Linked DNA regions of Ovis aries. The protein of the gene in region 1 purifies or fractionates together with the protein of each later gene. This does not show direct contact. Links are inferred from orthologs where the notes say so. Each region holds a gene or a part of one and is shown in the gene's direction. Other genes may lie near its edges. The genes, in order: PRDX5, PRDX1 and PRDX2.

The links.
Region 2: the proteins of PRDX5 (region 1) and PRDX1 fractionate together in Homo sapiens (co-fractionation; 3 studies listed by BioGRID). This does not show direct contact. The link is inferred for Ovis aries from reciprocal best matches to the Homo sapiens genes PRDX5 and PRDX1.
Region 3: the proteins of PRDX5 (region 1) and PRDX2 fractionate together in Homo sapiens (co-fractionation; 3 studies listed by BioGRID). This does not show direct contact. The link is inferred for Ovis aries from reciprocal best matches to the Homo sapiens genes PRDX5 and PRDX2.

The regions. Positions count from the first base shown.
Region 1 is NC_056074.1:39,060,480-39,070,065, forward strand, and holds PRDX5 (peroxiredoxin-5, mitochondrial), read left to right. Parts: upstream 1-3,190; 5' UTR 3,191-3,270; coding exon 3,271-3,456; intron 3,457-4,624; coding exon 4,625-4,759; intron 4,760-5,418; coding exon 5,419-5,550; intron 5,551-5,622; coding exon 5,623-5,661; intron 5,662-5,753; coding exon 5,754-5,815; intron 5,816-5,924; coding exon 5,925-6,030; 3' UTR 6,031-6,165; downstream 6,166-9,586. Other genes in the region: ESRRA (steroid hormone receptor ERR1), read left to right, coding at 30-299, 725-984; TRMT112 (multifunctional methyltransferase subunit TRM112-like protein), read right to left, coding at 1,905-2,012, 2,100-2,189, 2,328-2,429, 2,519-2,596. UniProt on the Homo sapiens protein: Thiol-specific peroxidase that catalyzes the reduction of hydrogen peroxide and organic hydroperoxides to water and alcohols, respectively.
Region 2 is NC_056054.1:20,140,581-20,150,510, reverse strand, and holds the start of PRDX1 (peroxiredoxin-1), read left to right. Parts: upstream 1-4,572; 5' UTR 4,573-4,866; coding exon 4,867-4,984; intron 4,985-6,267; coding exon 6,268-6,384; intron 6,385-8,014; coding exon 8,015-8,168; intron 8,169-8,899; coding exon 8,900-9,022; intron 9,023-9,291; coding exon 9,292-9,422; intron 9,423-9,930. UniProt on the Homo sapiens protein: Thiol-specific peroxidase that catalyzes the reduction of hydrogen peroxide and organic hydroperoxides to water and alcohols, respectively.
Region 3 is NC_056058.1:11,028,075-11,037,747, forward strand, and holds PRDX2 (peroxiredoxin-2), read left to right. Parts: upstream 1-4,904; coding exon 4,905-5,007; intron 5,008-5,101; coding exon 5,102-5,255; intron 5,256-5,829; coding exon 5,830-5,952; intron 5,953-6,091; coding exon 6,092-6,222; intron 6,223-7,026; coding exon 7,027-7,112; downstream 7,113-9,673. Other genes in the region: RNASEH2A (ribonuclease H2 subunit A), read right to left, coding at 323-410, 522-648, 774-845, 1,051-1,177; THSD8 (thrombospondin type-1 domain-containing protein 8), read right to left, coding at 2,536-2,735, 3,921-4,071.

The DNA.
Region 1 (9,586 bases):
TAGCCGGCTCTGGTCCCCCTGCCCTCCAGGCTTCTCGTCACTGTCACTATCTGACCAGATGTCAGTACTGCAGAGCGTGTGGATGGAAGTACTGGTGTTGGGTGTGGCCCAGCGTTCCCTGCCACTGCAGGATGAGCTGGCCTTTGCCGAGGACCTGGTCCTGGATGAAGAGGGGGCGCGAGCCGCTGGCCTGGGGGAACTGGGGGCTGCCCTGCTGCAGCTGGTGCGGCGACTGCAGGCCCTGCGGTTGGAGCGCGAGGAGTATGTTCTGCTGAAGGCCCTGGCCCTCGCCAATTCAGGTGAGTTTGGGGCTTGTACTGATGGGTTTCTCTATAAGGCGCTTTGGTTTTTTAACTGTGATGGTGGCACGCTCCCACTTTGCAGACAGGGAATACAGGCTTAGGCAAGAACAGTGACTTGCTGAAAGTCACGAAGCCAGGTGAGGACAGGTCCAGGAAATGCATGCTGAATTCTGAGCCCTAGTGCCTGTGGTTTTGTAGACAGGTGATCCACTTAGTGGGAGGGAAGGGGAAGGGGACCAGAGGTGGCCATAGCTGAGGAAGGAGGAGTGGGCCCTGGCTCATGGGCAGGAGCAGTGAGTAGTGCTTCAGCAAATCTTGGTGTGGCTCCTTCTTGGGCCCCTACCTGGCAGTGCCCAGGTTGATGTGGCTCTGCCCCTTCTGGAGATGGCCCATGTCAACAGTTCTGTCATCTTGCCTTGCAGACTCTGTGCACATTGAAGATGCTGAAGCGGTGGAGCAGCTACGAGAAGCTCTACACGAGGCCCTGCTGGAGTACGAAGCTGGCCGGGCAGGCCCTGGAGGGGGCGCTGAGCGGAGGCGGGCAGGCAGGCTGCTGCTCACACTACCGCTCCTTCGCCAGACAGCGGGCAAAGTGCTGGCCCATTTCTATGGGGTGAAGCTGGAGGGCAAGGTGCCCATGCACAAGCTGTTTTTGGAAATGCTCGAGGCCATGATGGACTGAGGCAAGGGGTGGGCATGGGTGGGGGTGCTGGCAGGACCCGCCCAGCAAGGGGTCAGCCCCAAGAGGGCAGAGCTGGGGTCTGGGCAGTGCCACAGCCTGCTGGCAGGGCCAGGGCAACACCATCAGCCCCTGGGAGCAGGCCCTACACCCTCCCCTCCCCCCTCCTTGGGGGTGTTAGAAGCTGGGAACATGTGCGCCCAGGCTCTGGGCACAGTGCTGCCCCTCGCAAGCCATAACGTGCCCCCAGGGTGTAGGGGGCCTTGCGGAAGCCATAGGGGGCTGCAGGGGACATGTGTGTGTTGGGGGGGTCGGTGGGCAGAAGCCTGATCTCAGGGAGGGAAGGGAGTGGAGGCCACAGTCTCCCAGTGGGTGATGCTTTTGCTGCTGCTTAATCCGACTTCCTCTCCAGATCGGAGGGGGATTTGGAGAGCAAAGGCTCCTGCTCCCTTTGCTCCTCTCTCATCATTTGCATTGGGCGTTACTGCCCCCCCCCACCTTGAAGCAATAACTCCAAGCAGGCTCCAGCCCCTGGACCCCTGGGGTGGCCAGGGCCCCCCATCAGCTCCACCCAGTCTCCTCAGGGGGCAGGGAGAGCACTGCCTCTATGCCCTGCAGAGCAATAACACTATATTTATTTTTGGGTTTGGCCAGGGAGGCGCAGGGATATGGGGCAAGCCAGGGCCCAGAGCCCGTGGCTGTACAGAGACTCTATTTTAATGTATATTTGCTGCAAAGAGAAACCGCTTTTGGTTTTGAACCTTTAATGAGAAAAAAATATATATACTATCGAGCTCAGAAACACTGTGTGTGGCGTGTCACTGGGTCAAGGGTTAGGGACACATAGGATAGGACTAACAAACAAGATAACGTGTAAACAAAGATTCACACAACCAGAGGGAAAAACCGGCGCCTGGCATAGTTTAAGTCTCAGTTTCCTCATCACTCAGCAGCATATTGGGGATCCCACGGCTGATGGGGAACACACGTCCCGACTCTGGGCATTGCAGGGTGCCCTCCAAGACCTCCACCTGCGGGAAGAGGGGACCAGAACTGAGCACTGGCAGTTGTCAGGTGTGGGTGTACAGCCAGGAAGCAAGCGACGGGTCGGTTCTCACCTCCAGCAGCACGTGGTGCATCTTTCTCAGAAATTCCTCGTTATGCTCATATCCCTGAATCGGCTCTTTAGGCACCTCGATGAGATGCAGCTGTGGGCAAGAGGCTTAAATCATCTCGGCTTCCCAGACGCTCGCCTTGATGGCTGGTGTAAAGGGCTGCAGTTAAGACTATCCCCCCAACCCCCCGCCACCCACGGTGTGCACGGGGCTGGGGAGGTGGGTCCTCACGTTGTCCGCAGCCTCCAGAAGCGCCGCCCACTCCACTTTCGGTATCATACGCACTATGAAGTCGGGGTTGAACTCCACAGGGTTGATACGGACTTCCGTGGCCTGAGGGGCGCAGAGATTTAGTTAGGCAAGGACCGGATCCTGATTCTCCTACCCTCGCCCCCGGGAGAGGTGCCCGAGACGGCCAGTACCTGGAGACGCAGGGGGAAGCCACGGGGCCCCACCCCTCGCACGTGCGAGCTCAGCAAGTTGTGGGTGAGCAGCCTCATGTCTGCGCTGCGCGCTCCCGCACAGCCGGAGCCGGAAGGACAATGGTCTCTCTCTACATCATTTCCGGGGCTGTCCCGCTCTATCCTATTGGACGCCTGGGAGGAGCGGAAACGGCGAACCTTCCGGACTTCCGGTCCTCGCCGGAGCCGAGGTTGGTTGGTATCCTGCGCAGCTCCTGGAAGCGTCTCGGCAGGAGATTGCAAAGGCGCAGGCCCAGTGGTTTTGGCTGAGCTAATGCTACAAATCATGTACAATGTAAATCATACGTAACACTGCTATAATGCAAAGGCCTTCGTGTAATGCAAAATAAGTACGCTTTACTTATTTACACAGGCGCCTAACACCACCGTCTCCTGCCACTTGCTTGCGGTTAAGAAATGGAAATACTGCCCCAATCCGTAAATTACACAATCGAAATAGCGGCAACCCGGCCTTGTATGCAAATAAGCCCCGCCCGCTCGCACGCGCGCCGGTGATCCACCCCTAATACGGAGCTGGTCGGAAGCCCCGCCCATTCGTGCGCCGTCCACGCCTGCGCGGTGGCCAGGTAACGTGCGCCGTTCTACTTTTTGCCCTGTCTTTCGCAGGATTGCGTCTTAACGCTCCGGTTCCGCCCAGCGTACTACCTCTGCCTCGAGGTGTGGGCGGGGCTGTTCTGACTCTATGACTCGGCATGAGTCTGCGGTGGTTACGAGTCCTGGGCTGCAGACCGGGCTCGGTGGTGTCCCGGGCGACCATCGTTGAGGGTGCGTCAGCGACAGCGGCGGGAGCCCGAGGGTGCCTGGAAGGAATCCTCGACTGGACTTTTGGCGGGGTCCGAGGTTTCAGAAGCGCTGCTGTAGCCATGGCCCCTATCAAGGTGACCGCGGGCCCAGCCAGGCCTGACTTCTTTGCCTCCCCGACTCCACTCATTTCTGCACGCCCCTTCGTCCCGCTTGTCTCTGGGAGAGTCACCGTCTTTCTTACCTTCCCTCTGCCATAGAGGCTCCTCCCGCCGTCCGTTCCTCTTGTTTCCTTCAACAAGACCCCGGTAGCTGCAACGATATCGCCAGTTTTAGGGGTCTCGTGCCCCATCTCCTCTACAGTTCTCAAGGCTTTGGGGCCTTCCCCTCGTCTCCCTGCCGCACCCACTCTGGGACACCTGTGACCAGTCTCCACCATTTTCAGGTGGCGTGCCATGGCTTCCCCCACCTATGGAACCATCTCCTTTACCCTTTTTAACCCCTATACGTGCTCGTCTACACGCCCTTCCGCTGCTTTTGTCAAGTTACTGGGTATTACTCTCACCCCATCCTTTGAAACAGGTGACGACGTCTCTTAGAACCCTGTTTTGTCTCTCCCACTGCACCCTTCTGCTGAGTTTTTCAGCCCTTTTATCTTCTGGAACCATCCCCAGCTCCTTGGGGCTCCCCCTTGCTTCACAGTCTTCTGAGAGCCCCTCCTCCTACTTCATCCTACAACCCACTGCTGTGTTTCTCCAGGCTCTCCCTCACTCCTGCCTTTGCCCCCTTTGTCTACTTTTTCTGGCCCGTGAAGCCTGCACACACTCCCAGGAACGCTGATCCCTCTCCCTTGAAGGGAGTCCTTCTGTACTCATGCTCCCCAGCTGTCCCACCTTCTGCTGCCCTCCCATTGTCTCGTCTTGCGTGTGGGACGCTCAGCTGTGCCCGGCGTCCTCTCCCTCCGTGTTGTCAGGGCCTCCTCCTGCCCCTCTGTCCCACTTCTTTCCTGTAACTCACCTTGTTTACTCAACCTCTTGTGACACCCAGAGAGGCCGTCTCTCCTTTTTCCTGTGGTCACAGATTGGCCCTTAAGAGGAATAGGGCCACCTTGAAACTTGGAGGGTGTGGGGTAACCAGGCGGTCGCAGGAAAGGGGCCACTGGAATCTCTGACAGCGGTGGACTTCCCTGCCGGGTGTAAAGCCTGGCTCCACAGGACCAGGCAGGGCTGCTCAGCCCTCAGTGGGCACCCCCACCCCGCTGTTGCGGCCCTGCCCCTGCCCTTACCTCGGAGTCCTTCCTTCTAGGTGGGAGATGCCATTCCGTCGGTGGAGGTATTTGAAAAGGAGCCCGGGAACAAGGTGAACCTGGCGGAGCTGTTCAAAGGCAAGAAGGGAGTGCTGTTTGGGCTCCCTGGTGCCTTTACCCCTGGCTGTTCCAAGGTGAGGCCTGCGCAGTTGGGATCTTATGTGCATGTTTATGTTGTTCACGAGTCCCGCATGGTCCTGGGACCGCTTGTACCAATGGGACGTAGGTGATACGACAGTTAAAGAAGCTTATCAGGCTTTTAAGAAATAAGTGGTGACTGAGTGTAGGGATGTAGGAGAAAAGGTGGTGCAACAGCTCTCATCGATCCTGCTGGGTGACGGGGCTGTGGAAGGGACTTGGGACCCGGGTAAATGAGACGGTCCTGCTCACGGGACGTTCATAGTGTTGAGCAAGGAACACTTTAATTTGGATCCGAGCTTAGTTGTTGCTGTTTAGTCACTAAGTCGTGCCAACTCTCTGCAACCCCATGGACTGTAGCGCGCTAGGCTCCTCTGTCCATGAGATTTCCCAGACAAGAAGACTGGGGCGGGTTGCCGTTTCCTTCTCCAGGAGATCTTCCTGATGGAAGGATCGAACCTGCGTTTCCTGTGTTGGCAGGTGGATTCTTTACTGTTGAGCCACCAGGGAAGCAAAAAGGAACTGTGGCTTACCCAATTTTCATTGTCTGATCAAAGCTGTTGGCATTGGGAAATGAGGAGGGCTTGGAGACGAAGGGTAGGCTGAGGAGCAGAGGCTGTTACCTACCTGCTGACTCTCTGGTTCTCCTCCCCAGACCCACCTGCCAGGGTTTGTGGAGCAGGCTGGCGCTCTGAAGGCCAAGGGGATCCAGGTGGTGGCATGTCTGACCGTTAATGATGTCTTTGTGACTGAAGAGTGGGGACGTGCCCACAAGGCAGAGGGCAAGGTGAGCTGTGGATCCTGCAGGGGATCTGGGGCCAAGGTGGAGGTTTTTTTGTGACTTTTGCTTTCTCCTCAGGTTCGGCTCCTGGCAGACCCCAATGGGACCTTTGGGAAGGTGAGTGCACTCCCAGCTTCCATCCTGGGGAGCAGCCAGGGGACCTGGCCTGTTCTGGGGGTTCCTGACCTTTCCTCTGCTTCTCCTTTCAGGAGACAGATTTGTTACTTGATGATTCACTGGTGTTTCTCTTTGGGAATCACCGACTGAAGAGGTAAAAGTGGGAGGGTCCCCCTTGGGGGTTTGCTTGCTACCCCGCCTGACTCCATTGCCAGCCTCCAGGCCCAGGCTGTTTGACGTGGCCCGGCCCTTCTTTCTGGCAGGTTCTCCATGGTGATAGAGGATGGCATCGTCAAATCCCTGAATGTGGAGCCAGATGGCACAGGCCTCACCTGCACCCTGGCTCCCAACATCCTCTCACAGCTCTGAGGCTTGGAGCCCAGATATCCTCCTCCGGCACTTTCCTGTTTCACCTGCCCAGTCCTGGGCAGAGGGCCCCAGCCTAGCCTGTGATCACTCAGCTGAAATCTTCGCCAAATTTCTGCAATAAACACTTCTGGTTTATATCTGTCTTCTTGGTTTTGAATTGCTGCTTTGCCCAAGCCAGGCCTCACTGACAGTCCAGCTGTTAGGGTAGTGGGCAGAGGCTGAAGTGGGGACTCATAAAGGACTCTGATTTAACTTAGACAGTCAGAGAAGGCCTCTTGAGGGAGGTTTCATGAAGCATCCATCTACAAGCTGAGAAAGGGCCAGCGGTCTGAAGAGTGAGAGAAGGAGCGGTCCTGCTGAGGGAGCTCCTCGGGAAAGGCTCTGGATAGACCCGAGCTTGGCTAGGGCCCGTGACCTTTTGCATTTGATATCTGGATGATAGCCGATCTCATTTTGACTGCAGACCTCAGGGTAGAAACTGGCCCAAGGCATCCCCCCCTCATCCCCCCCTTTTGGGAGCACCCACATCCCAAGAAGGGCCCATGGCACCTTGGGACCATCTGATGGGCAAAAAGGGCTCCATTGGCAGAGCCAGTGCTGGTTCAGCCCCAGGGGTGGGAGGTGATGGGTGGTGCAGTGTCCCGTGGGCAAAGTCTAGGTAAGCTGTGGAAGAGAGGAGACACTAGTAAGGCTGGCCCTGCAGTGAGTGTGTTGTATGTTGTTAGGGGCCGAGAGTCAGGGAGGCCAGCAGGGCTTGAGGCTGAGGAGCATTCTGTCTGCAGGCCTTGCCCTTGGGCCTCTGCCTCTTGTCCTCAGAAAGCCCTGTGCTTGGAAGCAGGCTTATTAGGCACCAGCTGTGTTAAAGAGCTCATAGTCTAAGGGAGGCAGATGCTTGAGGTATGCTAAAAATCCTCACACGATCCTGGGCGGTGAGAACTGTTATACCACAGAGAGGTTAAACAAGTGGACCTGGCTCCTCCAGCCACGTAAGAGGAGTTTGGATTTGAGCCAGTCAGTTGGCCTCGGGGAGCTTTACAGCCCCGCCCTGGGCCCCGTCAGCACCAGGCTCCAAGGGGTTCTCCCTGCCCTTCCAGGCCATCTGGGGAGGCTCAGGGCAGCTCAGAGCTGGCTAAAGCAGGCTGAGAGATCTCAGGAAAGATCAAGGAAAGGCATCTTGAAGGACACAGTCCTTGAGGCAGTGGGGCTGGTGCGCCTGGCGGCGGGAACAATGTGGCCATAGTTACAGAGGGCAGAAGAGCTCCAAGGTGGTGGAGCATCTGAGTGAGGGCAGGGAGGCTTTTGAAGCCCTGTAAGCTGCTTACATTTCACCCGGCGGGCCCTTCAGACCAGCGAAGGATGTCTGTAGGGCAGTGACAGGTCAGAGTCATACCTGGACTCCTCTGTGCAGGTAGAGCTGGAGAGGGGCAGGCGGGAGGCCGAGGAGAGGCCAGTGTGCGGCAGGATTGATGACTTGAGTGTCCAGGAGGTGGGGGCTGGTACAGGCGACCTGGGGGTGTTGGAAGGGTGAGTCCCCGGGGGTGCTTGGCTGGAGGTCTAAGGGGTGGGAGAGGAGGGTCCTCGGGAGGGGGCCAGCCTCCCTGCAGGGGTCCCAGCTGCTCAGCCTGCCTGAGCCAGCTCACCCACTGACCTTTGTCTCCTCAGTTCTCTTCCACAACCTGTCACCGCTCAGGAGTCCTGGGTTGGGGCAGGACAGAGGGCTGACCACCCCTCCAGCTTCCTAAGCTCTTGTGACCTGTCCCCACCAAGCCCTAGGTCACAGCACTGTCCTGGCTTGGATGGCAGGAAGTCCCTTTCTTTCCAGACACCATCTCTCAATTCTCTTGTTGTACAGATGAGGACACAGAGGTGTATGTAGACGTCACTGTGTGCACCCTGTGAGTGGTCTGGAGGCTCCACAAGCCCGAGAGAGAAGTGAGTGTCTGAGCTGGCAGCTGGGCTCTCGGAGCCTGGAGTCTGCTGGCCAAGTGGGGCCCCTGCGGGCCGGCACCCTATTCCTCTTCCCAGCAGACCTCAGGCCACCCTGGCAGCTCCTCACCATCAGGGCAAGCCCAGTCTCCATCGATGCCACTCAGCTGCCTCTGTGCCTCCACTCCTGACCTCATGTCTGGACAGGCTGAGGTCCAGTGAGGCCTCCGAAAGGAAGCGTCCCCTCCAGGATCCCGTTGCCACTGGCTGGGCCTTTATGGCAGGGTGAGGGGTCTTCTAGGGCCAAGGTGACCCCTTTGGACAGCATGATGGGAGTTGGGTGTGGGTGGGGGTGGGCCTTCGGTCTCAGTGGCCCTGGCTGCTGGCCGGGGGGCTGGGGGTGTCTTGTGCGCTGCTCCAGGTGCAGGACTGCTTGAGATCAGCCATCTCATGGTGTGCGAATCCGCCTGCCAATGCAGGGGACACGGGTTTGACCCCTGGTCCAGGAGGACCCCACATGCCGCGGGGCGACTAAGCCCCCGTGCCACAACTGCTCAAGCCCACCTGACAGCAGTGGGTGTGAGCCCCCTGGGCTGTTGGTGGTCAAGGGGCCAATGTTAAAGTCAGTCAGCCAGACCTCCAACGTCCACCGGACATGGTGGTGCCGGTTTAGGCGCTAAATTGTGTTCGACTCTTGTGACCCCATAGACTGTAGACTGCCAGGCCCTCCTGTCCATGGGATTCTCCAGGCAAGAATACTACAGTGGGTTGCCATTTCCTTCTCCAGGGTATCTTCCCAACCCAGGAATCAAACCCAGGTCTCCTGTCTTGCAGGCAGATTCTTTACCAACTGACCTACAAGGAAAGCCTGTTTACCCTAATTATTCCTTTTACGTGTACAAGTAGAGAGGCAAGTTCAGCCATCCCTGGGTACCTGTGGAGGACTGGCATATTGGTAAGTAAAATCTAGATGGTCAAGAATATTGCTCAATACCAGCGATTCTGAGCCTTTTCTGGGCCAAAAATTCCTTTGAAGTATTGCTAAAAGCAATGCCTCTTTCCTTACAAAGCACACATCTGAACGTGTGTGTACACACGTGGACACCTACATGCTCTTTAAAAGTTTCAAGGAACCCCTATGGTCCTACCAGATTTCCAGATGAGCCCCCTCCCTGACCCGGGAAGCATCCTAGCAGAGTGGGTCAGCAGACTTCGGGCTCAGACCACCTGTGAATCCTGGCCTGCTACTGAGAAGCTGGGGACCTTGGGGAGGCTATTTAGTTTTCCTTGACCCCCACTTCTCTCATCTTTTTTTAAAGTTAATTTCTTCTTGGCTGTTGGAGAAGGCAATGGCAACCCACTCCAGTGTTCTTGCCTGGAGAACCCCAGGGACGGAGGAGCCTGGTGGGCTGCCATCTATGGGGTCGGACACGACTGAAGCGACTCAGCAGCGGCAGCAGCCTTCTTGGCTGCGCTGGGTCTCTGTTGCTACTCGCAGGCTTCTCTCCAGTTGCGGCAAGCCGGGGCTGCGCTCTCGTTGTGGTTCTCAGGCTTCTCATCATGGTGGCTTCTCTTGTTGCGGAGCACGGGCTCTAGGGTGTGCAGGCTTCAGCAGTTGCGTTTTCCGTGC
Region 2 (9,930 bases), on another chromosome or scaffold:
ACATTCTAGACTTTGGCATTTACATTTTACTAATATTCAACTTTTTGTGCTTCCCCAAACATATTGTTTTCCACTTCTTTTGCTGTTTTCTCTGCCTGGAACTCATTCCACATTTTTCTTCTCCTTCAGTTCAGTTCAGTTCAGTCGCTCAGTCGTGTCCTATTCTTTGCGACCCCATGGACTGCAGCACGCCAGGCCTCCCTGTCCATTACCAACTCCCGGAGCTTGCTCAAACTCATGTCCATTGAGTTGGTGATGCCATCCAACCATCTTATCCTCTGTCGTCCCCTTCTCCTCCCGCCTTCAATCTTTCCCAGCATCAGGGTTTTTTCCAATGGGTCAGTTCTTCACATCAGGTGGCCAAAGTATTGGAATTTTAGCTTCAGCATCGGTCCTTCCAATGAATAATCAGGACTGATTTCTTTTAGGATGGACTGGTTGGATCTTAGCTAACTCCTTCTCCTTAGCTAACTTTTTTTAAAAGTTATTTTTATTCATTTATTTATTTTTGGTTGTCCTTGGTCTTTGTTGCTGCACAAGGGCTTTTTCCAGTTGCAGCAAGTGGGGGATACTTTCTAGTTGTGGTGTGCAGGCTTCTCATTGCGGTGGCTTTTTTAGTTGCAAAGCATGGGCTCTAGGGTGTGTGGACTTCAGTAGTTTCATTTCACAGGCTGTACACGACTGAAGTGACTTAGCAGCAGCGTGCAGCTCAGTAGCTGTGGTGCATTGGCTTAGTTGCCCTGCAGCATGTAGGATCTTCCCAGACCTGGGATGGAACCTGCGTCCTCTGCATTGGCAGGCAGATTCTCAACCACTGAACCACCAGGGAGGAAGCCCTAGCTAACTCTTTAGTGGTACTTCAAAACACCTCAATAGATGGTATTTTGAATATCTTTGCATGTCTGTTACCTAGTAGAGAATAGGCCTCCTATAAATAGAAAAAAAATAAGTATGTAACTAAACCTCTGTGCTGTTGATTTTCAAATGTTCATCTCCAAAAGGCAACTCTGGATACCTCTACCTGGATGTCTTGTGAGCATCTCAGTGCTGTTTGCCTCAAACCAAACTGATTATTGTCTCCTTTAAGAGAGGAGTCAGTAATGAGGTAGACTCCAGAGTCAGCCTGGCCAAACCAGTGTAAGGCACATCTCCAGGGGGCATCGTCCACATTATGGTCTATGTAAATGGTACATCTGCCTCACGTGCAACATGATGGCTCTGCTGGCCTGGATGGCCTCTGGCTCCAGCACCACTCAGCTGTGACTTTAGATTATCTACTTAAATTCTTTGGGCATCAGGCATCTCATCTATAAAACAGGTAGTACTCAACAAATGTTCATTGCTATTTTTAACCTAAAATTGTCTCCTCCTACGTTTCCTATAAAACCAAGGAATCAGACTGAACCTCCTCTTTCCTCTCACCCTAAATGCAATTAATCCAAAAGCCTGTATAAACATACTTTCTCTTCTTCTTCCCTTCCTGCTGCCAATGTCATTACAGTTCTGAGACTTCTCTTTTTCTTTTTAAAAATATTTAGTTAGTTAGTTAGTTAGATATGGCTGCATTCTGTCTTAGAGGCAGCACTTGGGATCTTTGACATGGCTCAAGCACTGAGTTGCTCAGTGTTGCCCCTCATTACTAGTTACGATTGCTGTGGGATCCTAGTTCCCCAACCAGGGATCGAACCTGTGCCCCCCTGCATTGAAAGGCAGATTCTTAGCCACTGGATCAGTAGGGAAGTCCCTGTGAGACTTCTCTTATCTGGACTATTGCAGTAGCCTCCCAGTTGGTCTCTTGTCTCCTAGTCACTATGTTTATCTATCACACAGGTGCTAGAATCATCATCTTAAAATGTAGTTCAAGTAAGTCAACTCCACATCTCAAAAATCTGTAGTACCTTCCAAAATTAATTAAGCACATCTCCTAGGCCAGTTAGCATGATGGGTTCTGGTACTACAAATATAAATAAAACATAAAATCCTTCCCAGAACTACTGGAGAACAGGGAGGACAGAGGTCCCATAGAAGGATAAAGTTCCCCTGCCCCCATTTCCAAAATGTTTACAGTTCTTTGTGGAAAGAGACTCTACACATGCATTCAATAGATTTCTTCTCTTGTTAGAACTGTCCTATTTCTTTTTTTTATGTTCCCACAAGAACTGGATATTAATATTTCCCTGGGCCAGGATAACTCTTGGTTCTTAAATAAGACAAACTCAAGTGCCCAGCCCAGGGCCTGACACATGGTAGATACAATAAATGGCAATTTTATTCTGGGTGAAGTAGGACTGTGTGTTGTTGGTTTAACAGCAATAACCATCCACTATTAAGCTCTGAGGCTAATGCAGGATTCGCAAGTTTGATCCCTAAGTCAGGAAGATCCCCCGGAGAAGGAAACGGCAACCCACTCTAGTATTCTTGCTTGAGAAATTCCTTTGGACAAAAGAATGGACAGAAGAGCCTGGTGGGCTACAGTCCATGGGGTCGCAAAAGAGTGGGACAGGACTGAGTGACTGATTACACAAAAACACTAAACTCTGAATGTCTTTTTTCCCCTGAACCCTCAAGAAGTAAATGAGGGGCTTCCTTGGTGGTGCAGTAAATAAGAGTCTGCCTGCCAATGCAGGCGACATGGATTCAATTACGGATCTTCCCTGGTCTAGGAAGATCACACATGCTAAAACACAACTGAGCCCATTGGGCCAGTAACTACTGAACTCTGCATGCCTAGAGTCTGTGCTTGTAACATGAGAAACCAACTCAATAAAAATCCCATTCACCACAACAAAGCATAGCAACCCCCTTTCCCAGAGCAAGTAAAGAAAGCAGGTACAGTGCCGAAGACCCAGCACAACTAAAAATAAATAAATAAAGGAAAATATTATAGATATTAAAAAAACAATAAAATTTGATTGAGCACAGTAATGGATGGCTATGACCAATTAAAAAGAAAAAAAGAAGGACATGAGTAATGGCCAAATAACTGTTCATCTCAGGCAGAGAGGGAAAAAAAGGAAAAAAAAATCACTACTGTTGTGCGGTAGGATGATAAATGCGAAAAAATTTTTGAGATGCTCAATCAGAATGACACAGCACTTCCCTACTTTTTATTCTGCTATAAGCTCCAAAGGAGATAAGGTAGTGGGGGCTATGGGCAGAAAGGGGAACACAGTACTATGTGTTATGTTTTTTCCTCCCCCTGGGCCTGCCCTATGTAAACTTGGCTAGCCTGGAGTGCTGTTTGTTCCACCTGAGGTCCTCATTCCAGTCCTCAACCTTCCTTTGTTCTATTTTCGCGGGCTTTTCCCTTCCTTGCCTTTTAGCCACAGCCATTCTGGACTCCTGTTTCCTATTCTAACTACCTAACATATGTATTCAATACTCTTTATTTTATAGCCGATGCTATGTTGTGACTTGAGGGCGCAGAGATGGTTGTGACCAAGCAGGCTACTGTTTGAGCAGAAAGGATGGAATGAATTCTGAGGATCAGTGAAAGTCAGAAGAGTTTCACCAGAAGGTAATGCCTCAGCTGACACATTTTCTGCAGGCCAAATAGGAGAGAACAGGTTCTGCACGTTCGAACAAAAGCCTGAGGTTTCAAACAGTTACTCTCTGTCCTGGGAGTTACGACAGAGGAGCAAGATGAGTTACACTAAAAACAACAGCTAACACTTTCATGTGTGAGAATTGCTAAATAAGCTAGAGATGATCTCAACAAAGAATTCATAGTATTCCCATTCTACAGGCGAGAAAAGTTAAGGCTGATTGATTAAGACTCTTGCCTTAAGGCCACACATAAAATAACAAGAGTTTTAACCCAGGAAGACAGAGCCCCAGTTTCTATAAACCACAAATCAGAGCGGTGAATGAATGAGATCAAATTTCAGAAAGATTTCCTGCAGCCGCAGTGGAGTGAATGGGAAAGGAACTCATGCAGGGGAGCTGGAATGCAACAACCCTGTTATAAGGAAGAACAATAAGAGAGGCTGTCTAAATAATGAGGGTTACGGAGGATCAGTCCTTGGAGAAGGAAATGGCAACCCACTCCAGTATCCTTGCTGGAAAATCTCATGGACAGAGGAACCTGGTGGATTGCAGTCCATGGGGTCGCAAAGAGTCGGGCACGACTGAGCGACTAACACACACACACACACGGAGGATCAGTACTAGAGCAGAGGCTGCGGAAACAGGGGCGGAATATTTCAGAAATACTTGAAGAGATCGTTCTCCTCAGGGTTTGGTTAGACGTAGTCTTCCGTGAGCAGCAGCGAGTGCCCGTACCCTGGTTTGGGCCTTACGAACAAGGAGGAGGCGTTCGTGTTCTGAAAGGACTGAAAGAGCGCCTCAAACTCAGGCCTCAACCGTCGGCGGCGAGAGGGGGATTGGTACTCTAAGGGCGGGAGCCCGCCCCCAGCAAGGGAAAGCGCTGAGTCATCCTGGCAGGGCACGTCGGGTCCCGGCGGTGTGCTGGCCATATCCCCCTCCCCATTCCCCCCGCCTGCACCCCCGGCCCGCCCTGACTCTCGCGAGAGCCTTACAGGCTATAAAGGCAGCGCCCCGCGCACGCCTCGCGCGTCTTCTTCCTCGCTGGTATCGGTCCTCTTTCTCTGGAACTGGTGAGTATGAGGGCCGCGCCCCCGCCCCGCCCGTCACCTTTCCCGTCTTCTCCTCGGGGCCCGCTGAACTCAGCTGGGCTCCTCGGACAAAGAAGGCGGCCAGGCGAAGCGACCCTCGTGTGGGGCTCCTTTGGGTGCGGGGACGAGGTTGAAACCCGAGGCTAACGGCAGCTTGAGTCTCCCCTACCCCCAGCAATACAAGCAGAAAGCGCTGATTGGCTTGGCGTGGCGTCTGGGCGGGTTGGTGGTGATGGAGTCTCCTGACGCGCGGGTAAGGGAAACTTCTCGAGTGAATCTGCAAACTGATCAGGAACTGAGAGCTATCAGTCGATCGTGTAGTAGAAGGAGAGGTTGTTCCCGGTCTTCAGGTGTGGAAAGTTACTAAGATTCCGTTCTCCGTCTTTATTTTTCCACCTGCAGAATGGGGTTTGTAGTGATTCTAAATGTCCTCGGTGAAGACTGAGCACTCTTCTGGAGCTTTCTGAGACGCTAGGGTGGGGGTGATGATGGGAGTGGCAGGGAGGGTACAAGAAGTGGGTTTTGGCGGAGTGGCTTTCACCAGGGACCTTCAAGGGGCGATTTCCTGAAGGGGACACACCCGGTGGAACTCCAGCTTCCCCGCCTCCCGCTCTTGGTCGTGCTTTAGTGGACGTAGGGATCCCTTGGAAAAGGTTTGAATAAGGAGGACATGTATATTAGGGTCACCTCCTGTGTTTGGTTGGGTTTTTTGGTTTGCTGTTATAGGTGTTAAGCGGTTAAAAAAAAATTGTCACAGTCGATGTTCAGTCTTTCTTTTGGCTGTAGTATTATGAACCAAGAATTTTGGGACTTGAAAAGTTAGCTTCTTGGGATTATCAAACTGATGACTTACTGGGTTAAATCTTACCATGTTCTTGACCAGGGTGAATCCAGTGTTACGTTGCTTTTTGGCAATAAATTGACTCTTGTTCTAACCATTTTTCCAGGATCTTGGTCCCTCGGTAAACTCACTTTTGAAAGGACTTCTGGGCTTTAAACACAACACTTAGAATTTTGAAATTGAGAGATGCCATAATCTTGGACTTGGCCTCTTAAAAAATTGGATTGGCTTTAGGGTGTGTGTCTTGGGAAATCTACCCAGAGAAAGAACGTGTGCTTCCCACGTTCTGAAGGCAGATGGAGGTGCAGTCCAGGGAAAGGGCATCATGGCAGCTTCTGAGGCTTGGGTGCTTAGTGTTTATGGCATTGCACCTTTGGGCCCAGGTTTGAGAGTTTCCACCCTCTTCTCTTTGTACACCTGTATAATAAACGTACACAGGAAAATGCAGTTGTACTGATGATGGTTCAGGAACAGGAAGAGTTCAGTTTATAAAGAAATTCCCATTTTAAAATGAAAACAACATTGTAAATCAACTATATTCCAATAAAAATTTAAAGATCTTAAATGAACAGTCCCTCCCCTCAAAAATGAAAACAGAGGTGAGATTCAGAGATGTGTAATATTTTTGTTTGAAAAGTTGGAAAGCTCAGTTCATGCTTCTCACTGTTATAAAAGTTTATGTGTATATTCAAGACCAGTGGACAATTTCTACAGCTTAGTCTCTTAAATAGATGAAGGTTGTTATCTAGAAAAGTAAGACTTGTTTCTAATTCACTTTCTCATCTTTTCCAGCTGATAGCAATATGTCTTCAGGAAATGCCAAAATTGGGCACCGTGCCCCCCAGTTCAAAGCAACAGCTGTTATGCCAGATGGTCAGTTCAAGGATATCAGCCTAGCTGACTACAAAGGTAAGAGTAATTAAGTTCATTAATATGAAATTATAGTACAGTCTAGGGAGGGCTTGTTCACTCTATCTCTTGTCATGTTTGAGTGTAAAATGATTTTTACATCTCATTTGTCTTTAGGATAAGAGGCTGTTGCCTTCCTATTGAAGTGGTGATTATCATCAGTGAACATAGGGTAGATCTCCAAGTCCAAACTACTTCTGGAGAAGGCATGTGCCTACTTCATTATATCTGGACATAATATCTCAATTATCTTCCCAATATTGCTCCTCAGTTATTTAACTGGAGATACACTCATTATCTTGTTACAGTTTAAAGCCTTGGACAATTTAAAGTCTCAGAGCTCAAGTCTTTGGAGCTGTGAAACTGTTCAGTTTACAAAATGTGTGTCACGATTGAGGGTTTAGGCATGTTCCCTTGACATTTTACCCCCAGAGAAAAATTGATGTCACAATTGGAACAACTCTCCTTTCTGTTAAGTAGTTTCATGTAGAAACCAGGCAAATACTAATGAGGATCTTTTTACTTTACTGTCCTAGAATAGCAAGGTATTCTGGGACAGTTCAAAATACGGATTTCCTAGAATTTAAACTTAAGGACTCAGGCGTCAAGTATACCTTTCTTGGTGATACAGCAGTTCATAGAGTTAGCTTTTGGGTAAAACCTATGACTAGATTTCTTAACAAATTCCACATACTGGTTGGAATGAGAGCAGATAAGTGGGGCCCTGTGGAGGAAAGCTCCTCCTGGCAAACAAAGTAAGTAGTACCATAGGGAGGTGACCCTGGCCTAAGGGTAAAGGCATGAGGTTTAGGAAGAGTTGCTCTGTGCCCTCCTGGGCTTGACCTGCTGAAGCTTGTTAGCAAAACCCTGGGGGAAGGTTGAAGTGTGTCAGAAGGACCAGCATATTTTGATTTTGAAACATTGCTGGTATCTGGAAATGTGAATATTTGGAATTGTTGGTGAGAGACTGCTTGACAGGTTGAAGATCTACTTCAGTTGGTAATCAGAATGACTTTAATAAAATTCCAACTAGAAATCCTATTACCTTCCAGGAGAATTTTGGGACCTTTGTCTTAGAAATTTTTTCTTTGCTTGTGCATCCTATCAGACTTATTTGAACCATGTTTGTGGTGATTTAGGTATCACTTAGACCTTACCTATCACGTTAACTGTGGTTCACTGTGGAAGAATAGCAAAGGCTCTGACTTTCTCTTGTTGGTCTTGTTGCCTTGTGGCAGAGAATCCAGCAATTCAGCTCTTTCTGGGCACTGATTATATGAGTATTGGCAGTAGATGATTGCATCCTTGTTTTTTCTTTTCTTCACAGAAGAACTTGGTGTTTGTGTTAATTTTAACTACTCAGAGAAGATCAAAATTAGACTGAACAGTGCTTATCTGTAGTTGGCAGCTAACATGGAAGAAGGAAAATTCTTATGGCCGAGGTTCTACAGTAGCTGCTAGGCATCATCTGTGTTGCGCATCTTGGTGTTTTAACAGTTGTCTGCCATCAGTTGAAAAAAAAAAAAAAAGGCTTCTTTTTTCCCATAGGAAAATGTCTTTAGGTTTACATTCTCTGCAAAACAAGGAAGTCTATTTCAAAGGGTAACAGGCTTTTTTTTTTTTTTCCCAGGAAAATATGTTGTGTTCTTCTTTTACCCTCTTGACTTCACCTTTGTGTGCCCCACGGAGATCATTGCTTTCAGTGATAGGGCAGAAGAATTTAAGAAACTGAACTGCCAAGTAATTGGTGCTTCTGTGGATTCTCACTTCTGTCACCTGGCATGGTAAATCTCTTGGTCCATTTGGCATGGGCTTATTTTAGAAAATTATAAATTATGGATTTTTTTTTTTTTGTAGCTGTGCTGTGTGGCATGTGGGATCTTAATTCTCCAACCAGGGGTCAAACCTGTGCCTCATGCAGTGGAAACGTGGTAGAAGTCTTAATCCCTGACTACCAGGGAAGTCCAGGCATAGGAGCTTTTAAGCAGCAACTGGAACCAGGAGGCTTTGGCAATAGACTTTTTCAAGTATTGACTTCTGGCTCCTCATGGAAGGAGTGCAAATGCTCTGACTTCCTCTTGTTGCTCTTATAACTTAGCAGCAGAGAAAAAGCAGCTTGGGTTGCAGCTGAGTGTACCCTGGTGATTTTAATTGGCCTCAGCCACTTACCGCTGGACTTCCCTCATAGCTTAGTCGGTAAGAATTTGCCTGCAATGCAGGAAACCCAGGTTCAATTCCTGGGTTGGAAAGATCCCCTGGAGAAGGAAATGGCAATTCACTCCAGTATTCTTGCCTGGAAAATCCCATGGACAGAGGAGCCTGGCAGGCTACAGTCCATGGGGTCGCAAGAGTTGGACACAACTTAGCCACTAAACCACCATTTACTGATGGAAAGAATTTAAAGTTTTCTGGGGAGTTAGATTAGCAACGTTGGGGTAGGATAGACACAGTTAATGCTTTTGTTACAGAAGAATTTGAATGAGTGTGATCGTATGTGTGTTTTTTTTTACTGTAGGATCAACACACCCAAGAAACAAGGAGGACTGGGACCCATGAACATTCCCTTGATATCAGACCCCAAGCGCACCATTGCTCAGGACTATGGGGTCTTAAAGGCCGATGAAGGCATCTCATTCAGGTATATATGCACCAGGAAACTGGATGATTGGCTGAAGATCTTTTATAAGTAGAGCTGTGATCTGTGGAGACGTTTTTTATTTTGTTTTTTTCTTCCTGTTTTGTTGAGAATAATTGATATACATCACTGTGTAAGTTTAAGGTGGATGGCATAATGGTTTCATTCTTTATGCAGGACCTAAGGGGAAGGCCAGTTTCTGCTGATTTACTCTAACAGCAATTTCTAAAACTGTACTATCTCTCCCTCTGACCTTTAATATTTTCTTGCAGGGGCCTTTTTATTATTGATGATAAAGGTATCCTTCGACAGATCACCATAAACGATCTTCCTGTTGGCCGCTCTGTGGATGAGACACTGAGACTAGTTCAGGCCTTCCAGTTTACTGACAAACATGGGGAAGGTAAGCCAGTTTGCCTGGTGACAGGACAGTGGAGTGATAGGGTGGGAAAGACGGTGGGAACAAAGTCTACCAGATAGGAAAAGGGTTATTATGTCTCTTTAAGAAATTTCAGTCTCTGGATTATAGTGGGTTGTAGGGGTGAGGTAATAGAAAAGCTTGGGGAGGAGAATATAAAGGCTTTTTGTTCCAGCTGTGTATTCCCAGCTTCTACCCTGCTCATTTAGAATTACTTACTGCTGCAGATTCAACTTGTTAAAGTGTAGGAGGATCTCATAGGTGTTAACATTTTTGTCTTTTAAAAATTCATTCTGTTGTGCAGAATATTTTTTGTATCTATAAGAATTATAGTCACCAAATACCAAATTATATAAATGTTCAATATAAAAAATTTTTTGAGGAGGGATTAGGGCAAGAGGGTTTGAGATGAAATCTCAAGGTCCTTCGAGAAGTTTCAGGATTAAAGATGTTTTTGTGAGTCTGTCCTTGTAAAATCTAAACATTACTGAGA
Region 3 (9,673 bases), on another chromosome or scaffold:
GTCCTCAGTGGAGCACACATTTGGGGTGGAAGAAACAGTTGGGGGAACTTCCCTAGTAGTCCAGTGGTTAAGACTCCATGCTTCCAAAGCAGGGGTGGGTGTGGGTTCAATCCCTGGTGGGGGAATGAAGATCCCATATGCCATGCAGTGTGGCCAAAAAAAAAAAAGACAATACAATACAATAAAAACAGTAGGACATCAGCAGCAGTAACACACGTTTCTGATATTCTAGGTATGTTTGATGCAGAGTCACCCACTGCACTTCTACACTGCTATTTTATCCTGAGAGGATTAAATGGGGGCAATCCAACAGTTAGCTCACCTGGGCCACGTTCACACCCTGGTCCAACGCAAACTGCACTAGCCCTGTGGCTGTATCATGAGAGAGGGCGTTCAGGTTGTATTTGACCCTGTGGTGGAGGACAGAACCGAGTCAACTTCGTTCCAGCCACCCATCCTTTCCAACCCACTCTGGTTGCCCCTCCTTCCGGCCCCCTCCCCCACCCTCCGGGACCCCTCACCGCCCAAGCATGCTGGTAGAGATGAGGTTTGGAGACAGCACGTCCAGTGCCCAGCCCACAAAGTCCCCGTCCTCCTCCATTTTCGCAAAAAGCCTGTCCCGCTCGCTCTCCGACAGAGTCTTTGAGTCTGGGAGGAGGGTTGGGAGAGAAGGGGAGGGGCTGGATCCCGCAGTTCCTGCTTTTCCCCTCCAGCCTGCACCCACCAGTGCCCATGCCCAGGAACCCCCTCCCTAGACGCACCTCAGTGCTCACCTGCCACTTTTAAGGCCTCCAGATCCTCCAGGCGGGACAGAGGACAATAGCAGATAGCATAGACCATGGGGCCTGCGGAAGAGGGAGTCCAGTGAGCCCGTGAAAGCCGCCACCTCTAGTCCATCATCACCGCTTTTTTTTCGGTGCCATCACCAATGCCATCGCCATCACCGCTATCACCCCCCTTCCCGAGGCTGGTGCAACCCCAGCTCCGGTTCCACTGCAACTTGCATTCCCCTTATCATGCCCCTCCCCCACCCAGCCCTGGGGGGCGCACCCAGCACCGGGCCCCGGCCCGCTTCATCGACGCCCAGGACGCAGGGCTCTTTGAGGCACACAGGAGGCACAGGCGAACTCAGGCGACAGCGGCCCGTATTGTCTCTTTCCAGCTCGCTGAGATCCATGCCGCCTCGGCCGCCGCCACCAGCCGTAGTAAGGAAGTCTGCAAGGAAAGGTCTCCCCGGGCGTTTTCCGCGGGCTCCGCAACAGTGCCAGCTCTCGACCTATCGGCACACAGGACACGCCCCCAACACGCCAGCCGCCGTTGACGTTTGCGCAGCCTTCGCCGACGCCGCTGCCGTGCGGCTTCCTGGGAATTGTAGTTTCCGAGGCTGACAAGCGAGCTCCGCGCTTGGGGAACCGGGTGGGCGGTGTCGCTTTCCAAGCTCCGCCCCGGTGTCTCTGGAGCTCCTCCCGCTGCGGCTAGTGGGCAGACAAGGGGAAATAGAGGGGGAGACTTGAAGGACTCGACCTCATCAAAGCTTGTGCTGTACTTAGTCGCTCAGTCGTATCCGACTCTTTGCGACCTTTTGGACTGTAGGCTCTTCTGTCCATGGGATTCTCCAGGCAAGAATACTGGAGTGGGTTGCCACGCCCTCCTCCAGGGGATCTTCCCAACCCAGGGATCGAACCCAAGTCTCCCGCATTGCAGGAGGATTCTTTACCGTCTGAGCCACGTGGGAAGCCCCGTCAAAGCCCAGAAGGTCAAATACCACTAGACTCCGAGAATTCGGTGTCCGCATCACCGAGTTCCCGGCCTTCATCTGGTTTCAGGCCCTCCTGTGTTCGAGGTCCCTGGAGCGCCACACAGTCTAAGCCCCCTATAGTAGGAATTCTGGCTCCCACTGGACTCAAACCTTCGGACTTGGAACCCCCAACTCCCTCGTAGCTCACCGGAAGCGCCTCCCCCCTACCCCCGCCCGCTTCGTATCCTCTCTTTGGGCTAATCCTCCTCTACCCCTGAACAGAGATCCCAGACTTCTCCAGAATCCGGCTTAGAGTCTTCGTCCATCAAGCAGGCTCCCTCCCCCTGCCAAACTCAGGGTTCAAGCCCTCGCCCCCTTCTCTGCTCTTTTCCCTTTTTCTCACGTCTTAGCGAGGAGCACGCCTCCTAGATTTGTTCCAACGAATGCATCTCTTTCTATTTTCTGCTTTCATCAGGGCTCACGCCCTCAGCTTGTGGGTTTCTGTTCCTCCGTCTCCGTTTTCCCCTTCCCCACCCCCACCGTCTATCTTCCTTTCTCCTCGGATATCAGCGGGTCTCACATCTCCTAACTCAGCTCTCCTTTCCCACGCTCTGCTCAAGCCCCAGATTTAGTGTTCCTTTTCCCGATGCCCGCCTCGTGCCCGCGCTCCCACGTTCAGCCCTTCCTCTCTCTCCTCCCATCCTGGGGACTCAGGGCCCCGACAAGCCAGCCCGCCGAGGGTGCGTGTGGGGGGGCGGGGGAGGGGCGCCTCCTCCACGCCCGCTGCTCACCCGGGCTCAGAGCCTCCAGTCGCAGTCGTTCGGCTCGCAGGATGAACAGTCCCGTTGCCGGCAGGGTCGCACCTGCACCAGATTCTCGCGGTCCATGAACACCGGACCCGGCGACGTGCCCACCACCTCGCGGCTGCGCTCCTGCTTGCCCAGGTCGCAGAAACAGCGCCACTTTCCCCAAGGGCCAAGGACAGAGTCTTCCAATTCTAGGGATGGAGAGCCAGGTAGAGGGGGAACCTATATCCCCGCATTCTAAGGAGGGCGGAGGAGAAAGATACTAACAAATAACAGTTCCAGACTCCGGGAGATGGTGAAGAACAGGGAAGCCTGGCGAACTGCCGCCCATGGGTTCGCAAGGAGTCGGACACGACTGAGCGACTGAACAACAGCATATTCGCTCAGCTGTGTTTCTCTGCCACCTAGCCCGACACAGATGATCTCTAATCTTCCCATTAGTCCCAGGTGGGGAAACTGAGACCTAAGAAGAGCAACCCACCTTTCCAAGCTCACACATCTGGTGAGCGGCCCAGATGGGCTGCAAAATGACACGTCCCATCTGTGCCTGCCTGTCCAGTTGGGGGTGTGGTACAACACACTTGGTGGCCACCGTCTGAAGGTGACTCCTCTCTACAAGGCTGTGATCACAAGCCGGTCCAACAAGTCCAGTGTCACCTGACCAGCAGCATTACCAGGTGGCAAATTAAAGGACATAATTAGCATAATGAAGGTACTTAAAGCCCCTGGCTATGCATGGGAATACAAAAACAATTATCTTGACCACTTTTAAAGCAGCTGCATTTATCAGACGCCCTTTACAACTGTTCTTTTACAGACTCTTCCCTATGGCCCTAGCTGACAGGTCTTAGCTCAAGTCTGGGGCTCAGAAAGTCCTGACACCTCATGCCCTCATGAAGCCTCTGCCAGACAACACTGGCCTCTTTCCATTTCTCTTTCCATCTTGGCACTTGCTGTTCTGACTCACTGGCACGCTCCTCCCCTTACATTTTCGCATTTGGGGCTTTTTGCTTGTTATTCTGGCTGCACTGGTTACCTATCTTCAGCCAGGAGGCCTTCTCTGACTTTGGAAGTTTCCATGCGCCCTGCCTTCTCTATCTCTGCCTTTCTCAGCACTTATCCATGAATTTATGGACACGTCTGCATTGGTATTTATTGCCTGTCCACTCCCCTCTCCCTGTGTATACTGCTTAAAGACATTATCTTAACTTACATATGAGAAAACTAAGCCAAAGTAACCAGCCCAAGAGGTACCCCCAGGGCTCAGCAAGGCAGAAATTTGAAGTCCCTGGAGGAGGGTCTATCTGCAGCCAGATGGTGAGGTGGGGGCAAATGAGGCCCCTTTCTGCACTGTCATATCCGGGGCCTGCAGTTACCTTTCTCCTGATGCTGCAGCCGCAGCTGCTCCCAGGTGTCCCCTTCGCCCTGCTGGCCGAAGTACTGGTAGTCGGGGGAGACCTGGGAAGGGGTCACCAGCAGCAGGAGCATCAGAGACGGCAGTAGTAGTGCCGCCCGGCTCCGGGCCATGCCGGACTCCAACCGACCCCGGCGCGCTCCAAAGAGAAGGCCCCGCGCATCACCCCCCGCAGTCTGGTGTAGTGGTCTGGGCCGGAGACTGCGCGTCTCCCCCCGCCACTCGCGGGCGCGTGGTCGCGGCCGGCTCTGCTTCCCCTCCCCTGCGCTTCCTGCAGTGGACCCGACCGCTCCGTAAGTCCGCCCACCTCCCCGTGCCCTAGGCGTCTTGGTTCGGGCCGACTATAAAAGGCGCCGCTGGTCTGGGCTGGCTTGGCCCTGCGAAATCAAGTCCGTGCATCCGAGAGTCCGTGCGTCTCGCCCTTACCCACGCAGGTATGGACACCGAGAGTGCATCGCGCTGCGGGATGGGCCCCCTTGGAGCAGCTCAGGCCCAATCCAGACCTCAGCGCCGGCCGCCTTTGTTTTCCGCCCGCCGTAGCGGCTGCCTTTGTCCTTGCGGGAGTGGGAGTGGGGGTGGGGGGCGGGAAACCGAGGCCAGAACCTTGGAGTACCGGCCGCATCCCCATGCTTCCCGTCCCCAACTCGCGACATCTTCTGGGCGGGTGGGCTTGCGCGATCGCGCTACGGCCGACACGCTAGCTGGGGACCGGGCGGCCGCAGCCCGGCCGCCCTAGCTGTCCAGGTGGGCGGGTCTCCTAAAGTCTCCCGGCCGCGCCGACCTGGTCCCGGACAGGGTGCGGGGCAGGGCCGCAAGTGTCTCCGTCGCTCTGACTCGGTAACTCGGCCGGATATGCAGCGTGACCTTGGGAAGTGAAGACAAAGGGTCGTCCAGAGCACACTGACCCGGCGTGGGTGGGGCGGGGGGGGCCTCTCAGCTTTCAGTCATGGCCTGCGGCAAGGCGCACCTCGGAAAGCCCGCCCCGGAATTCCAGGCCACCGCGGTGGTGGATGGCGCCTTCAAGGAGGTGAAGCTTTCCGACTACAAAGGTGAGGGCCTAGATGGGGGCCGCGGTGGGGGCGGGGCACAAGCCTTAGAGGGCCCGAGCCCCAACTTCTCGTCTCTTCCCACCCCTTTCCCCAGGGAAGTACGTGGTCCTCTTTTTCTACCCGCTGGACTTTACCTTTGTGTGCCCCACGGAGATCGTAGCTTTCAGCGACCGTGCTGAGGAGTTCCACAAGCTGAACTGCGAGGTGCTGGGCGTCTCCGTCGACTCTCAGTTCACCCACCTGGCTTGGTAGGAATGGAGATCACCAGCAAGGAGGGAGGGTACAACTAAACCTACACCTCTCTAGGGCCCCAGCTGTGTGTTCTCCTGGTCAGTGGGCAACCTCTGCGTATGCCTTTCCCAGCAAGAAAATAATGGAGAGGGTGATTCCCAAGTCCTTCAGGATGATGGCAGTAATTAGCCTTTGGAAAGCAGTTTCTGTGGCATAGGGCGTTGATAAATGTTTTATCTCAGTTAAGGCAATGCAGCCTCCCTCCCAAGAACTATTTGAGCCAGATGGAAACTCCAGTTTAAGAGTTCGAAAGAGGACTTCAGGGCAGGTTCTCTGCCTCCCATTGCTGCTGCACACGTGAAGTTACTTTGCTAGAGTATTAACTTAGTCTTCCCAGTTGTGGGAAGCAGCCTCTGCAGCCACTTCAGGGTGGGGTGGGTGGGGCTCCCTGAGACTTGCTTTCAGGCTGCTTATCTCTCACCTCCAGCACCCCCTTCTCCAGCCCTCATCGCACCCAGGCCCTTATCACAGGGTAAGGACCCTGCTGCACCAGCCATCCTGAGGTCCCAACCTTCTCTCCCCCGCCCCCAGGATCAACACTCCCCGGAAGGAGGGAGGCTTGGGCCCACTGAACATCCCCCTGCTGGCTGATGTAACCAGAAAGTTGTCCAGTGATTATGGCGTGCTGAAGGAAGATGAGGGGGTCGCCTACAGGTACTGTGGGAACCTCGGGAAGCCCCCATCCTTAGGGTGAGGGGACCACTCTCACCCTGTGGCTAGCAGGGAGTCTGCTCCCTCCCTGGGTCCTGACAGTGGGCGCCGCGGCTCCTCACTGTGAACTCCGATATCTCAGGGGCCTCTTTGTCATCGACGGCAAGGGTGTCCTTCGCCAGGTCACCGTCAATGACTTGCCTGTGGGACGCTCCGTGGATGAGGCTCTGAGGCTGGTCCAGGCTTTCCAGTACACAGATGAGCATGGGGAAGGTGAGCAGACACACCCATTCACATGTGTCCACATGTGGGTTCATACGCAGCCCCTGGGTCATGCACACATATGTTCATGGTCTGCTGTATTGCTTGTGTGGAGTGGATGTGAGGGCCCCAGAGAAGATTCAGCTCAAGGTCTGCAAGAAATTTCTAGTCCGGTTGGGGAGATACTACCCCAATATAAGGGCAGACAACTGGGGAGGTAACAGAACTCCATAGAAGATATTTGAGAAGGCCTGTACCAAGGCAGGCAGGCTTGAATGTTAATTGGATCAGAGTTATCTTCTCCTGTGAAGGCCACTGGCCCTCGAAGTCCACTGGGACGGGGGCTAAGAGAGAAAGATATAATTAAAGGAGTCGGAAAGAAATTAAAATATCAGCCAGGGAATTTGCTGGCTGTCCAGTGGTTTCCAAACTTTTACTGCTAAGGGCCCAAGTTCAGTCCCTGATCAGGGAACTAAGATTCCATAAGGCACATGGCATGACCAAAAAATAAAATAGGGACTTCCCTGGCAGTCCAGTGGTTGAAACTTCCACTATAAAGGACACAGGTTCAAATCCCTGGTCGGAAAACTAAGATCCCACATGCCTTGAGGTACAGCCCCCGAAAAATGTCAGACAGTCCTGCAGCTGAGCATGGAGGGCTTCTTTCATCATGTGGCATGGTCTTAGGCCTGGAGCACTTGGCTCTAGGCCTTTTCTTCTGCAACTCATGCTCTTGCGCCTCTCTTTGTCCCCTCACTACCGTTCTCCCTTGAACATGCACTCAAGCCTCTCCTGTGCATCCCTGTTTTTCCACAGTCTGCCCTGCCGGCTGGACACCAGGCAGTGACACAATCAAGCCCAATGTGGACGACAGCAAGGAATATTTCTCCAAACACAACTAGGCTGGCAGATGGTGGCAAGCCTGGGCTCTTGGCCTGCCTCTGTGCCCCTACCTGTGTGTTCTGTACTGACCCAGGAAATGTCAGACCTGCTCCTTCAGACTCCACAGTCCATGACCACAGAGGGTTAGGCCAAGTCCTTCTCAAGCTCCCAGCTGCGAGCTGGTGAATGGTGACCCCCTCCTTGGAGCCCACATAACTGGGAACAGGCCTATAGGTGACTAATAAAGTATTAGGGACAGATCTAAGTCTTGTGTTTGTGTGGTTTGTCCTGGTGTGGTACCACCCGCGGCTGCTTTCTCCAGGCTGAGGCCTGGGAAACTGACATTCTGGTTACCAATCTCCGCCACAAGGTGGCAGTCTTGCCTCATGCTCACTGCTTTCTTTCTCTGTGGCCTGAAGGGAAGGTGGTTGGCACTGTTGCCCCTTGCAGGGAGCAAGTCACAGGCTGCCTTATCACCTGAAACCTGGCCAGGCAGGGCAGCGCCCACACCTTAACAGCAGCCAGCCTGGGTTAAAAAGCCGCTTAGGAGCTGTGGTCTTCCCTGGGTCTTTTCAATAGCAAAACGGGAATAAAGACGACCAATGGGAATGAAGACAATGCATGTTAAAAGAGATAAGTATGTGAAGATCAGGATTCTATTAATGGTTAATAGGACCAGGTTCCAGGGACTGGAAGAAGGTGGGGACCCAATCCTGAAAGTAGAACCAAGAGGGGGATGAGGTACATGCATAGTTCCTGCTGCAAGTTCTGTACCACCAGAGGTTGGAAAGTCTATGTCTTTCCCCTGAAATGGAAGGGTGAGGGTTAGACAAGAAGGCAGGTATTAGGAGCAACATAGTGTTCTAAGGTGCAAAGTTTGATGCTGTACTTTTTCAGGCAAGTGGTGTTGCCATTCTTAGCCCTCATTTCCTTCCACAGGACTGACATGCTCATTTAATCCATAGACTCATTATTAAATTAAGCTTCCCTTGTGGCTTAGTAAAGAATTTGCCTACAATGCAGGAGTTGCAGGTTCAATCCCTGAGTCAAGAGGATCCCCTGGAGGAGGAAATGGCAACCCACTCCAGTATTCTTGGCCTGGAAAATCCCATGGTCAGAGGAACCTGGCAGGCTACAGTCCATGGGGTCACTTAAGAGTCAGACACAGCTTAGTGACTAAACCACCACCACCATTAGTAGTACTCCCGCCTAATGCCCTCCAAAGTCACTCATCTCAGCCTTGGAGTTTTTATTCTATTGTTTTTAAATTTTTAAATTATTTTGACTGCACTAAGCCTTCATTGCTGAGTGTTGGCTTTCTCTAGTCACAGTGAGTGGGGGCTGCTCTAGCTGCAGGGCAGGGGCTTCTCTGAAGCAGGGGCCCTGGAGCGCTGGCTTCAGCAGTTGTGGCATACCACACTGGCTTAGTTGCTTCGCAGCATGTGGAATCTTCCCAAACCAGGAATCAAACTCAAGTCCCCTGCACCAGCAGGCGGATTCTTGGCCACTGGATCACGAGGGAAGTCCTTGGCCTTGGAATTTTATCTATACCCCTCCACAAGGCCCTACATGGCCTTCCCTGACCTCATCTCCACCTCGGTGTGTTCACTCCACTGAAGCATAGTGGCTTCTTGGTGTTCTTTAACAGGCTGATCTTGTTCTGGCCACAGAAACGTTGCATATACTATTCTCTCTGGCAGAACTCTGTTACTGAGGATTTTCTCAGGGGTCAGCTGAAAAATCGCCTCATTAAAGTTCCGTGTTCCCAATTCATTCTCCAAAGCAGCTCACCTCCCCTGCTCCATCACGACCATTGTGACCAGTTTTTTTTCTTTCTTTTTTTCTCTCTTCCTGGCACTAACCACCATCTCCAAATCATGTTTGCTTGTTTATAGTCTGTCTGCCCTGGTCTAGCTAGTGACTCCAGGACCGGGTCGTTCAGTATTTTATAAACAAATTAATGGAGCGTTTGTTCTACGGCACCTAGGTCCTGTGGCCTGGTTTCTCGGTCTGTGTTTTTCTCTGCTGTTCTGGGGGCTTCCAGCTCCGAAGCCTGCCAGATCCCCATCGGGGCTCGCCAGCCGCCCTCCCACCCGTCCTAGCTGCGGGGGAGGCAGCCCCGTGCGAGGGCGGCGGCGGCGCCCGGCGGCCCGAGCAGCCGCCCCGGCAGGACCAGACCTGGCAGTCGCCCCGCTCCCGGCCTGGCACCCGGGAGGGGAAACTGGCAGGCGGGCACCGCCCTTCCTGGCGGGGGTGGGGAGGGGATCGCGGTGGCAACGACGCTCAGGCAACTGCATCCCCCCGCCCGGGTCAGGTCAAATGCAGCGGGCGTGGGCTGGGCAGGACCCAGGGGCCAGCCCGATGGGGGAAACTCTGGGGTAGCTCTTGGGGCTCTGGAGCGCGGCCCGCCCACCGCGGACGCTCTGGACCCAGGCCTGGGGCTTTCCGGGCCTCGGTAGCCGCCAGCCTGGGAAAATCCCGGCCCCCTTCCCGGCGCCGCAGCCCTGCCCGGCAGAGCGGGGGAGGGGATTCCCGGAATCTGCCCGGAGACCGCCGTCGCGTCACTGGGCAGAATCAGCCC